Drosophila melanogaster: one gene and its partner. The protein of the gene in region 1 interacts with the protein of each later gene in a pairwise test. Each region holds a gene or a part of one and is shown on either strand. Other genes may lie near its edges.

The links. Proteins that work in one complex are often made in the same cells at the same time.
Region 2: the proteins of Acn (region 1) and cass interact in a two-hybrid assay, tested with the Drosophila melanogaster proteins (2 studies listed by BioGRID).

What each region holds. Positions count from the first base shown.
Region 1 is NT_033779.5:19,040,844-19,049,317, forward strand, and holds Acn (acinus), read left to right. Parts: upstream 1-4,511; 5' UTR 4,512-4,723; coding exon 4,724-6,204; intron 6,205-6,308; coding exon 6,309-6,519; intron 6,520-6,576; coding exon 6,577-6,811; intron 6,812-6,872; coding exon 6,873-6,982; intron 6,983-7,070; coding exon 7,071-7,253; 3' UTR 7,254-7,974; downstream 7,975-8,474. Other genes in the region: mib2 (mind bomb 2), read left to right, coding at 1-279; Catsup (catecholamines up), read left to right, coding at 1,103-1,481, 1,537-2,507; Ttc19 (tetratricopeptide repeat domain 19), read right to left, coding at 2,777-3,040, 3,093-3,240, 3,311-3,474, 3,527-4,060; CG10470 (uncharacterized protein), read left to right, coding at 8,332-8,392, 8,444-8,474.
Region 2 is NT_033779.5:17,474,412-17,479,572, reverse strand, and holds cass (cassowary), read left to right. Parts: upstream 1-1,684; 5' UTR 1,685-1,855; coding exon 1,856-1,924; intron 1,925-2,012; coding exon 2,013-2,174; intron 2,175-2,346; coding exon 2,347-2,880; intron 2,881-2,955; coding exon 2,956-3,156; intron 3,157-3,211; coding exon 3,212-3,414; intron 3,415-3,476; coding exon 3,477-3,663; intron 3,664-3,730; coding exon 3,731-3,985; 3' UTR 3,986-4,661; downstream 4,662-5,161. Other genes in the region: fws (four way stop), read left to right, coding at 1-401, 460-1,038; Sgt (small glutamine-rich tetratricopeptide containing protein), read right to left, coding at 4,990-5,161. UniProt on the Drosophila melanogaster protein: Antiapoptotic factor. Also known to efficiently suppress E2F1-induced apoptosis.

The sequences.
Region 1 (8,474 bases):
ATCGAGCGGCGATTGACGGTCAGCGGCCGAGTGGTGGCCCTGCCCACGTCCACGTCGTCACCTAGTGACCCCACTCGCCTACCGTCCGGGGATCTACTTCGCTATCTGGAGAACAAAGTGCTGGAGTTTGAGGAGTCGCACTTCTGCGGTATTTGCATGGAGCGAAAAAGGGATGTGGCCTTCCTGTGCGGGCACGGCGCGTGCTCCCATTGTGCCGAAACGCTCCGCACATGCCACATGTGTCGCAAGACAATACTCAAGAAGATCAACCTGTACTGAACGGCGGTAACGGAAACGAAAGAAAAGCAAAGGCGGCAGGATCAGCAGCAATTCAAACAGCAACCAAAGTGGCTTGTATATATACATACACAAAACAAACACACACTCACATTGCCGTGTCATGTGCAAATCGAAATTATTATTTATTGATCACAAACGAAATTTACGAGTTCTTTTTTAATCGGTTCATCATCGGCATCGTCGCAACACGCAACAAATTAATGTGCACCTTCTCGTGTCTAGTTATTAGCCCCGTTTAACCATGTCTGGTAACGATAAATACATAGGAAACTAACTAAAGCATACAAATATTTAATAGTCATTTAAATGCAAATATACAAATATAAAATTATTTAATTGAGTGAATTTCAATCGATGTCGGTGGTTAGCCTACAGAAAATAAAGATACTTTATTTCTGAATATGCTGGGGTGACTTTTAATTGTATTGGTATTTAAAAGGTTTAGTTTAAAATTGAATATATAATAAGTTTAGAAAGATTTTAAAACTGAAATGTTGTAACGGCAAAGTGTGAACAAGTTATTTTCTTTCAGTACGCTGCATAAATTTTAAATGTTTTGCATTTTTGTAAGCATTGACTTGGCAAGCTGTCGGATCTTAAGCTCCGTTTAAAAGTTAATGTAAGCAAAAGCGGCAAAGTACAACTTATAATTGAAAATATACACAAGTTTATTTTTTATTTGAGCGAAACAATCGATACCTCCAGATTTACACGCTAATCGATAACAACGTAGCCAGAAAAAAAGCAAACACGTCACAACACTTTGGCCGCAGTCCGACGCGAAACTAAAGTAAAGGACAAAATGGCCAAACAAGTGGCTGATTACCAGTGCAGTAAGCTCCAGTTGTACCAAAAGCTGGCACTGGTCGTAATCCTGGGAGCAGTGCTTTTCTCGCTCCCGGCGTTGTGCGCCGGCCAGGGCAATCCCAGTTTCAAATACTCGCGGGAAGCCAACGAAAACTTCGATCCGCAGAAGGCTCCACGGGCGGAGCACCATCATCATCATGATCATGACCACGATCATGGACACCACCACCACGGGCACGATCATGATCATGACCACGACCACGGGCATGATCATGGACACCATCATCACGGGCACGATCATGATCATGACCACGACCACGGACACCATCATCACGGGCACGATGAAAGGCACACCAAGGCAAAGCCGGATTTGGGTAATCAACGAACTACCACTCTTAAAATGCCCGAGTTGACCCAAATTTCTTATAGATATGAGCACCATTTGGTTGCACTCGATCGGCTCAACTCTTCTTATCAGTGCCGCTCCCTTCGTGCTGCTGTATATCATTCCCCTAGACAACAGTGAGGCGATGAAGCCGCGTCTCAAAGTGCTTCTGGCCTTTGCTTCTGGCGGTTTGTTGGGTGATGCCTTTCTGCACTTGATTCCTCATGCCACGCATCCACACAGTCATGGAGAACACGGCCACGATCACGGCCATGATCACCATCATCATCATGATGGCGAGGAGCATGAACATGGTCACAGCCACGATATGAGCATTGGTCTGTGGGTCCTTGGAGGAATCATTGCCTTCCTTTCAGTGGAGAAACTGGTACGCATTCTAAAGGGCGGTCATGGAGGACACGGCCACAGCCATGGAGCACCAAAGCCAAAACCAGTGCCTGCTAAGAAAAAGTCCTCTGACAAAGAAGACAGCGGAGATGGAGACAAACCGGCAAAGCCAGCCAAGATCAAGTCCAAGAAACCAGAAGCGGAGCCAGAAGGCGAAGTGGAGATTTCCGGCTACTTGAATTTGGCGGCGGACTTTGCTCACAACTTCACCGATGGCCTGGCCATCGGCGCCTCCTATTTGGCGGGCAACAGCATTGGCATTGTGACCACTATCACTATTCTGCTGCACGAAGTGCCCCATGAGATTGGTGACTTTGCCATTCTTATAAAGTCTGGCTGTTCCAGGCGAAAGGCAATGCTTCTGCAGCTCGTCACAGCGCTCGGAGCTTTGGCGGGCACAGCGCTAGCTCTTCTGGGAGCTGGAGGCGGGGACGGATCGGCCCCATGGGTCTTGCCCTTCACAGCCGGCGGTTTTATTTACATCGCAACAGTGAGTGTCCTGCCGGAGCTGCTTGAGGAGTCTACGAAACTGAAACAGTCGCTGAAGGAAATCTTTGCGCTGCTAACCGGCGTAGCCCTAATGATCGTTATCGCCAAGTTCGAGTAATATCAAAATTGTGGAAAGTTAACACAAAAAAGATCTAATTGCATGTACTGAAAGTGTGCCGCAAACAATTTGAAAGATTTCTGTTCGTTACCTACTCAAAACGATGAGCAACTACTTAAATTTCTTATATTTCAACAGTCAGTAACCGCTATTAGTTCCCAATATAAACAATGCGGCGTTATTTAAGATTTTTTAAGCCTTCCAAATTTGTGCTTCACTTCGAAATGAAATTTTTATAAATAGTCAAAATTACACTGTAAAAAGAATCCTCACTGGCGCTTCTCTCCATTCAGGGTTGTCTTTATCTCGTTGAGACAATACTCGGCCTGCTCTACGGCATCGGGATTCTGGTGTTGCTTTCCCAGTTTCCACGCCAGTCGGCAAGCGTTCTCCGCCTGCGACATCAGGCCCTCGCGAAGATACACCAAACCCAGATTTGCCTGCAGAATGCCTTCCTGGGTGGCATCCTTTAGCTCCTTAGTCAGCTCCATGGCCTCCAAAAGGGTCTCCCTTGCCTCGGCGTACTTTTCCAGCTGTAATTAGTCTAATGTGTTTCAAGTACTTTGGAAGAATAGACGCACCTACGTTTACGTACGCCACACTGATGTTATTTAGGATGGTTACAGAGGCGTCGTTAACGGCACCATAAACATTTATGAGCGTGTCGAAGGCCTCCTTAAAGAGGTTTTTAGCCTCCAGGTATTTTCCCTGCTTCATCAGCAGCTGCCCGAACCTGGAAAATAAACATAAGGAAAAGTATTGAAAAAAGGCTTGGTTAGCGGCAATGGAAACACCTTCAATACCAATTCTTTGTCAAGCCATACAGCTCCAGTATGTCCTTGTCGTCGGGCATTTTCTCCAGTAGCTTAGCCAACTGCTGCAAGGTCCAAGTGAACCCTTGAAAGCTCTTTTCCAGATCCCCTTGCAGCTGAGACATGTGTGCTATCTTGGAGCTGATGTGAAGTATCTAAAGATGAAAGAGATCTTAACTGGTTATGGTGTCTAAGTGGGTCACCCACCTTGGGACTCTCTTCGGTGTGACCCTCGGCAAAAAGCCGTTTCATAACGTCCGTGAATATCTTCTCCGCCTTCTTAAACTGCTCGCGTTCCATGGCCAAATTGGCCATCAGATCAAACACATATGTGATGCCGTCCTTGCTCTGAATATCCTGCGCCATTCGCAGAGCCAGGTGAAGCATTTGCTCGGCCTTGTCGTACTGTTCCCTCTGAATGCACAGGATTGATCGTTTGATGGTCTTGATCAGTTTTTCCTCCGGAGTTTCCTCTTTTTCGTCGGCGCCACCAAACAGATTCAGAGTGAAAGCAGCGGAAAATGCCCAAAACATTCCACCGGAAGAGCCAGAAGCGGGCGGAGCTGCCCAGGACACCTCGTAGCCCGCAGCATTGGAGCACAGCGGTCGACATCCGAATTCTGACCGTTGGTGATAACGGCTTCTCTTCAGCGGCGCAAGATGACAGTAATCTCTGGGATTCACGACAACGCGGAACCTGCCCATAACTTGCGTAAACTTGCAAATATTTCTCACTAACATGTTTAGGGCTTTATTAATTATTTAACTAAAACCTATAATGTTGCAGGTATGGTATTAAAAATTATGAAATAGCACGTATGTAGTGTTGCAAAGCGCGGTAAAGACGTTTTAAAAGTACATTTCGTAACGCTTGATTAAGAACATAGAAGACTTTTAAATAATTTCTACTCTATCATACTTTCGCAAATATATTTATGTTTCGTTAAGATTTCGTAAACAAAGGTTTTTAAATTTTTTAGAGATGACACTGTCAAACAAAACTTTATCGGCAACTTTGGTACCTAACATTTCGTTCATAAGTTAAATCTGCGAACAAAAATAAATTGATAAGTAGAGTTATTAACAATCTCGAATAAAAAACATTTAAGTACATTTGATAAAGTTTTTCGTAATAAGGTACTTCCTTCCCCCATCGCATACGATACTATCGATAGCCGTCAGCGGGGCGATAGACCGAGAGAAAGCATCCCTGTATATTGATGGCGGATTGACGCTCTTTCGCCTAGTAAAATTATTTTTCTTATCAAGAAAAGGTGCAGAATATAACGAGGAGTGAATTCGCAAAGCAGTGCATGAAATAGCTGTGGGTCCGCCGGCTGTACCTACGTTTTATTTCAGATCTTTCCAGCGTCGCAGCGAGTTTCCAGCGATTTTCGGACAGCCATGAGACGTCGCAGCGAGCGAAAAAAGTCGTCGTCGCCCGCTCCGGTGCCGGTGGCAGTTGCACGGAGAAGTCGCCGCTCCCGCAAGGTGTCGGAGAACGAGAAGACCGAGGTCGAGACTCCGGTCGTGGCCCAAAATAATGAGGCCGAATGCCCCAAAGTACCGCCAGCCTCTCAAGAAATCAATGAGGCGCGGGCATCCAGTGAAGAACGTGCCGGATCTGGAGCATCGCCAGTGCGCAGGAGTCGCGGCAGCCGGACGACGCCTAGAAAGCGCACGGAGTCCAAGGGCGGCGACAAGAAGGTGGACACCATACCCGAGGAGGAGCCGGAGAATGGAAAGGATGTTGAAAAGGACGCTGTCGAGGAGGAAAAGACTGTAGCGCCACCCGCGGCTAATGAGAGCGAGTCCGAGGACCGTGCCAAGACGGAGGATCAGCAGGCTCAAGACGATGAATCCTGTGCTGAACCCGCTGTAGTCAAGGATGATGATGTTGAGAAAGAGGACTTAAAACCGCAGCAGGAGGTCCCCACTTCCACTGATGATGACACCAAGCAGAGCGAGCCAGAACAAGAGGTAAAGGTTCCTTCTCCTTCCAGCAAGGATGAGGAACATCTAAAAACGACTAGTGATGTATTAGACATTCAGACAGAAGAGGTCGATGAAAGGGACGAAGAAGCCTCCGCTCCTGCGGAGCGCAGAGAAACCAAGAAGAGGCACAAGGAGCAGATAAAGGAACAGCAACCCGCAGAGGAGGAGGAACACAAGGAAAACCACAAGCAGATAGACGAAAACCCAGAACAAATTCACGATGAACCAGCAGATCTTTCGAACGACAAGCACGATCCATGTCTAAACAGCAGCGCAACCAACACAACCGGTGCTCCAGTTCTGCAGCAACAACGGTCGGTGCGGAAGCGAAAGTGGCTGACTAACAAAAAGTCTTCGGATCGTACCCCGCCCGTGCTTGCCATTTCGACGGATTCCCTGAAGAACATTATAGCCGATGTGGTGCAGCCAGTGCCCCTAAGCGATGTGCAACTGGAATCGTCCTCAGAGGAGGAAGGCCTGGTCACCAGCGATCGCGATTCAGAGCGATCTGCTTCACCGGCGCCCCCATCTGAAGCAAGCAAAGACCGCGATAACAAGGGCAATACCGCCAACACCTGCGACACCACCGCAGAGGCGTCGGCAGATAATGAAGGAGCAGGAGCCGCTCCTCCAGCAGCAGCAGACACGGTTTCAGCCCAGGTCAGCCTGAGCAAAGCCACAGTTTCCACGGCAGCACCACACATAGTCCGTGACCCTAGTCCTGCTCGAAACCGCGCCAGCCACGTGCTCTATATCACCAATTTGGTACGCCCCTTCACAGTGCTGCAGCTGAAAGGCCTGCTGGCGCGGACGGGAAAGATCGTTGAGGAAGATGGTTTCTGGATAGATCGGATCAAGTCTAAGTGCTATGTTGCCTATTCCACTGAAGAGTAAGTATTGTAGTTGCGCAAATAGAACCTAATCTCCAGGGAGTCAGTGAAATATGCCTATAAAAAACTCACACTTGCAATTATTTTGCTTTTCAACCTTTAAGCGAGGCCATCGAAACCCGACATGCCCTGCACGGAGTTCGCTGGCCAGTGTCAAATCCCAAATGTTTGAATGTAGATTTTGGCAGTCGCACTGATATGGATCGGGCAATACTTTCAACGAAGGACGAGGCTCCGAGGTACGGGCAGGAAAACACCAGAGATAACCAGCAGTCGGGCAACGCTTGGTCCCGGTTGGAACCGTCTGACAAAAAAGTAATGGATTATTATCACAGCATAGAAATGCGGAGCTAACTTGTCTTTTTCCTTCAGCCTGCGCGACCTGTACGCGAATGGGATGTTGGCAAAAAGGAACCAAGCGACCACGACAAACACAGCAACGACAGGCGTCGGGACAGCAAGGATCGACTGGACTCGAGGTCTAGGGATGCGGAGCGAGCCGGACAGGAACGAAAGCGTTCTAGGGACAGAGAGGGGCGAGGACGCGATCGGGAGCGGGAGCGACTTGATCGCAATGCACATGCAAGGAGCCGCAGTGGATCGCCAGGTAAAGCCCGTGGGATACATTTTCCTGTCATGAGAAATTCAAAAACACCCCGTTTAAATAGCGTCCAAAACTAAGAAGGAGAATGAACCGCCTATCAGACTACTAGATGATCTATTTCGAAAAACCAAGGGAACACCTTGCATATACTGGCTGCCACTTACGCCGGAAGCGGTAAGTTGCTGAGATAAATAGTTCCAATCAACGAGAATCACTTCTAGACCAAGTCCGCCTGAACAATAAAATTTCTTCCGGCTTTCAGATCGCAGAAAAGGAGGCATTCCGTCAGAAACGCATTGAGGAGCACAAGCTGCGTATTAAGGAACGGGAGGAGCGCCAGAAAGAGCGGGAGAAGGATCGTGACCGCCAGCGCGAGACGCGTCGCAATCGTTCCAACGAACGGCGACGATCTCGCAGTCGCGAGCGGGAGCGAAGACGTTACTAGGCGGAGGCTTGAGATTGAGCAAATAAATGTTGATATCTCAAAAACTAAATCAACATATAAAAAAAAACTTCAAGAAACAGCAACTAAAACTTCAGCAGGGTCTCATCACCACCCGAATAATTTCAATTCTTTTCTTTCGAGCGTTTTGCGTTCCCAATTAGGCCGACGTTTGTAATATTCAACTTGAACTGAACCGACTTCAAATTGAATACTTTCGCCAACGTCTCATCCACATTCTGATTTTGAGATTTCAAACTCTCTTTTCTTCGTTATTTTTCTCATTGTTGTTGTTCCATATATATATAGCATATATATTTCCATATATATATATATAACCTGATTTGATTTCTTTCCTCAAATGTAGCATTTTACAGCGCCTAACGTCACCTCACCCCAAAACGAAACCACAGCAACCAGAAATGCGCCGGCATCAGATCAGCATCAACGCCATGGAAACTTACCATCGGACTCTTGAAACTACTGCAGCAAGTTACCATGCTTATATCTATTCAATAAACAAACATAAAATAATTGATTAAAATATTGTAAAATCAAATATTTCTTAAAATTTTAATGAACTTAGAAATACAATTTAACATCAGTCGGCAAGCTTGTGACAATGCCAAAACCCAAAAATGTGTTTTAAATGTCTGAGAAATATGCTTATCGCACGACTTATTCGAACAGAAAAAGAAAAGAATGTAATTCCTCAAAATTATAGAAAATGTTTTTGATTCGTAAGAATCATGGTATTTAGAGCATATTATTATAATTTTAATACTCTTTAATTTATATATAAGGTCAGATTTATAAAGTATGAACTTTTTGCCATTTATTTACTTTTCCTTATCAATTTTTAGTAAAAACACTGCTTTTATTAATAATCGCGAGTCTAATTTATTGATTAAACTTAAAAAAGAATAAATGAAGTTGTCCGTTAAAGTACCAGAATACCCCCAACAATAAGTTCGTTTTAATCGATAGTCCATGTTAATAAGCTATCGGAGCCGCTTAATGATTTATGTCAATAGTGCTATCGATGAGTTTTAATTTGTATTAACATTAATTTAGTGAAAAAATGTGGTCCGACACAATATTAATTGTTTTTATATCGGTTTGCACCGCCTTCCTGGGCGAAGGTAAGTAAAACGCCAGTTAATTTAGTTAACCCTACATATTTGTTTGCCTAGGTCTTACATGGGTGATGGTTTACCGGACGGA
Region 2 (5,161 bases), 1.6 Mb from region 1:
CCATAGCAAATGTATTTGCGGCCTGTGGAAAAGAGTTGTGCACAAAACTAGAGGCTCAAATCAAGCTGGGAGCTGATTCCAAGCAGGTCGTGGATCTGCCCAATCTGCAGCAGCAGCAAAACACCCAGCTGGCGAATGTTCTGTTCTACTATAAGGATTCAGTGCGTCGCATGCTCAGTGATCTTCATGTGCACTTTGAAAAGACACCGGGAACAGCTAGGGAGATTATATCCCGATCCTTGGAACAGGCTGATTTACTGATCGGCACCATTCTACAGCAGATAATGGAGTCGATTATCACGACCATTAGCATCATTGTATTGAGTATGCACAGGGAGCCGGGATTGAATTCGGAGAGGATGTCTACCACAGGTCCGTCGATGTACATGAAGGAACTGCAGGTGGGTGGGAATTTGAATGTAATACTTGGCTAGTCATATGTCTCAATCAAACTATTAGGAGTTCGTCAACCGATCCTGGTCGCATCACATCGCCCTGTTCGATGACAAGCAGATGACGAAAAAGTGCGGACACGAGTTGGCCAAACGTTGCATTGAGCTCTTCCTGCACAATGTGTGCATTCTGCGACCTTTAAGCTCCTGCGGAAGGCAGCGTTTGAAGCAAGACTGTCAACACATGGAACAGGCGTTGAAACCTCTTTGCCCAAATCTCGCCGAGCTGGGAAAGCCGTCGCGTCTGCTAAGAGCCATGTCCTTGCTGATCGTCCAAACGGCCGAGGAGCTGGTCAAGCAGACAATCGGCGAGGACTCTCTAGTGCCCAGTTACATAGTGCTGTTGCTGCTCTTCGGACACGCTGGAGCAGATCTGCAGTCGCCACACACGACGGCCAACTGGTCCAATGAGCGGCTGATCGAATGGCTGGATGGGCACACGGCTGAACGGGAGAAACTAGAGCTGATCTCGGGGGCACTGCAACGGTATCGGGACAATGCCAGGCGAAAGAACATTCAGCAGTACGACGAAGTTTACCCCATGATGGTAGATTATTTTGAACAGGCCTTAAAGGCACTTCCATAAATGTCTAATGTATTATGTATCTAGAACTATGTATGTATGTATGTAAGAGCACGAATATGTTTGGAATAAACATATGCATGGCATCCTTCTATTAAATCATTGTACTCAGTTCCTTCCGCTAAATGAAGCTAATGAGTTTCTTAGAATAACTTATTGAGTGGAATAATGATAGCAGTGAGAACTTGAGGCTAGAGGCTTAAAATTGAAATTATGCGAGGTTGTGTCATATTGTCATTTGATTAAATTAATTTTGGTAGGCAGTTTTGGCTGGCGCTATATGAATAAATGGAATTCCATGGTTAATATAAATGATACTGGTACTTACTCAAAAGACACATTTTGGAAGATGTTTCGTATTAAAAGAATAATTCTTACTTATTCGTCATTAACATTAAGAGGATTTCAAATAAAAATATATCACTACATCGTTTGGAAATAGTTCCTCCGGAATATCGGTATTTATATATTTTTCACATTTATATCGATTTGAAATAGGCATTCAAAACAACGGTAGTAATAACTTTTTTAAACTATCGATGCGTATTCAGAATAACGGTACTAATAACTTGTTCTAACTATCGATGTGTATTCTGAATAACGGTAGTACAAATTTTTCCCAACGGTATATCGATATCCATCTGGGTTTTTACTGTCTCGAGATCTGGTCACTCCCCCGTGCTCACCATTTTGTTTGCAACGTGAAAAACTCTCATTTGAGAAACGCTGTCATCCAATTTAACTGCAACGAAAACTGTGTAAAGTAAACTATAGACGCTTGAAACCTCTGCAAATATAGTGCGTACCACTGGCCAAGAAGATGGACAACATAGAGCGACTGTACAAATGCTACGAGATTCTGTCCGAGGCGGGCGATAAAATATCCGAAGTATGCCGCCATTGCAAAACGTGCCGAAAAAAAAACGGTATATGATACATGGTCTAATATATATATGCATGTTTTTTTCGAATTGCAGCATGTGGATGAATATAAAGAGATACTCAAGGCCGTGAAGGGCACGTCGAAGGAGAAGCGCCTGGCATCGCAGTTCATTGGTAACTTCTTCAAACACTTTCCGGATTTGGCCGACACAGCCATAGACGCGCAGTTTGATTTGTGCGAGGATGACGACACACAGGTGAGTGGGTGCCATAAAGTTACCCAGCTGATACAATAGGCTCGGAATTTTTGGCCTGTATGCAGCTGATGTGTGTAAATAAATCGAAATCCCCTGTAATCCTGCTCCGTATCTTGACAGCTTAAGATATCCCACATATTCCACAAACTAAATATCTTTATCATCCTTGTAGATCCGCCGCCAGGCCATCAAAGATCTGCCGAAACTGTGCCAGGGAAACGCAGATGCTACCATCCGAGTGGGTGATACTCTGGCCCAGCTGTTAATCCTGGACGATCCCACAGAACTCCAGCAGGTCAACAACTCACTGCTGGCCATCATAAAATTGGACACCAAGAGCTCCATCGCCGGATTGTTTCAGCAAATCTCCACTGGGGATGAAACGACAAGGGAGCGCTGCCTCAAGTTCATTGCCACCAAGCTGCTGACCATGGGTCCCACAGTTATTACCAAGGAAATCGAGGACTATATCGTGGAGGAGATCAAAAAGGCTTTGCAGGATGTCACTGCCGATGAGTTTCATCTGTGCATGACAATTCTGGGAGCCACCAAACTGGGAAGCACCATCACGGGACACGCCGAGCTCGTCAAGCTGGCCACGGAGCAGGCGGAGCTAAATAACACAGACGCGGACATCATAGCCGTCGACGACGAGGTGGTGGAGCGATTCATTCAGTGCGCCTCTGCTGCGGCTCCTTACTTTTCGGTAAGTTTCCAATAGCTGCACATGAAATCGAACCCCTGGCGAGCATTTAAATCGAATCTCTTGCCATTCCTATAGAAAACCATCAAATCCACGGCCTTCGTGGCTCACGTTTGCGATAAACTGTTGCCCATCAAGACCTGGAACATGATCGCCACTGCAGTTTCGCAAGATCAAATCCAACTTAGATTACTAAAGGTATTCGCCGAGATGATAACCAACACAGACAAGCTGGACAATGCCAGCGAACGGATTAATGCAGTCTACAATGTATTGCTGGTAAGTGTACTTGGTACATTCGAAATTGAGCGAATAACATGTAAACAATTTCCAGGAATACATGCCTTTGCCAAAGCTGAGTGACGAGGATCTGGGAGATACACCGCCCTCGTTTCAGTTTTCGCACGCCGAGTGCTTACTGTACGCATTGCACACTCTTGGAAAAAATCATCCAAATAGTTTAAGTTTCGTCGAGGATGCAGAGAAACTAAAAGACTTTCGAGCTAGATTGCAATATCTTGCAAGGGGAACACAGGGGTAGGTTCTTGCAAAAATTTTATTCTGTTTACATAATTTATTTTATAATACTTGCCTTGTAGTTATATTAAGAAACTGGAGGAGTCGCTCAAAGGCAAGACGGGAGAGGAGCTCAAAACGGAGGAGAACCAACTGAAGCAGACGGCACTGAAGACGACATCAAACATCAACATTCTGATCCGGGATCTATTTCATTCACCGCCCATATTCAAACATGACATTGTGCTCTCCTGGATTGTGCCAAAAAATGTAAGCACACAAGTTATCTCTTACAGCTGATATATTTATAAACAATGCAATATTCTTGTGCGTTCAGAACAAGCTGGGCAAGCGTCATGCACCCATCACTTTTGGGGAGAAAGCCGCTGCTAACGGCAAGGATAAGGATCAGGAGCCAGAGAAGAAATCGCGGCCATCCAACGATCAGAAGTTTTACTCGCCGCCATCTGGAAAATACTCCAACAAGGTCAACCAGAGCTACGGAAACAACAATCGCACGAGACAACGTGGCGGCGGCGGCGGTGGCGGCAGCGGTGGAGGCTACAGAAACAGGCGATTCAACAAGTACTAAGTAAAGAATCAATCGTGAGGCAGAAGAGCAGCAAAGAACACTTCACTTGAATGGTTTGTCCCTAGTCCGTAGACATACAAAAAAAAAAAAAACAAAAACAAGATATTGGATGCGAGCAGAATAAACACAACTGTTGCGATGCTGCAGCCAAGCAATTTTAAAGGAAACAAAACGAAAGTGGTGAGTATTCCGTGCAATTTTCATTTAACTTTCTCCCCTTTGTCTCCTTTCAGCGCAACATATTTTCATGGAAATTAAATGCAACATTTTTACATCCATTTTACTCATACACTCACGCATTGCTTTTATTATTTTCGTTATAACATTTGTTTTCGCTAAAGTACTTGTGCAATTTTCCAAAACACGCCACGCCTTCTTTTCATACATTTCCCAAAAGAAAGGCGCTGGCATTGTTTGAAATTTATATCACTCCTGTTTTTACCTTCAATTCTGTCAAACGCATAAATATAAGATTATACCAATAACCAAGTGAACGAATATCAATATAAAACCTACTTTCAAGTTGACCGCTTTGAAGATAATGATTTTCAAGCGACAAACTGTTTGCGACAGATCGGCATTTGTTTTAAACCCATTAGTTTTTATTTGACATGTAATATCAAATTAACAATTGTACCATTTAGAGATGCAAATCAGCAAAAAAAAAACCCCTAGCATACATTTCTTGAATTCAATAAAAGCAACATTAAATTACATGCACTGTGTGATATACTTGTTTAATTTTGTTAACGACGGGCAACTAGAAAAATATATGAGGCATTATAATATATATATTTAATATTCATTGAAAATTCGATTGGAACAGCGGCAATTTGCACGGTCATTTATTTATTTCCATTGGATAAAAATGTATATGTATGTATGTATGTATGCGTAATAGAAGCCATTTAAACATTATAAATACATTTATAGTTTCAGCTTAACAACTTAATCTGTGTGCCGCCGATCCAGGCAGGGATCGGGGATCGGGATTCTATCCACTTCTAGGTGCTCGGTGGTGGCTGATTGCCCGGCTGCTGTTCATTGCCAGGATTTGCGTTCGAATTGGGAAAGCCAGTCAATTGGCTGGTCATGTTATAGATCATTTGCACCATGTCATTGGGCAGGGTCGGGGCATTGCCGCCGCCGAACTGCTGGCGAATGGTGTTCATGATC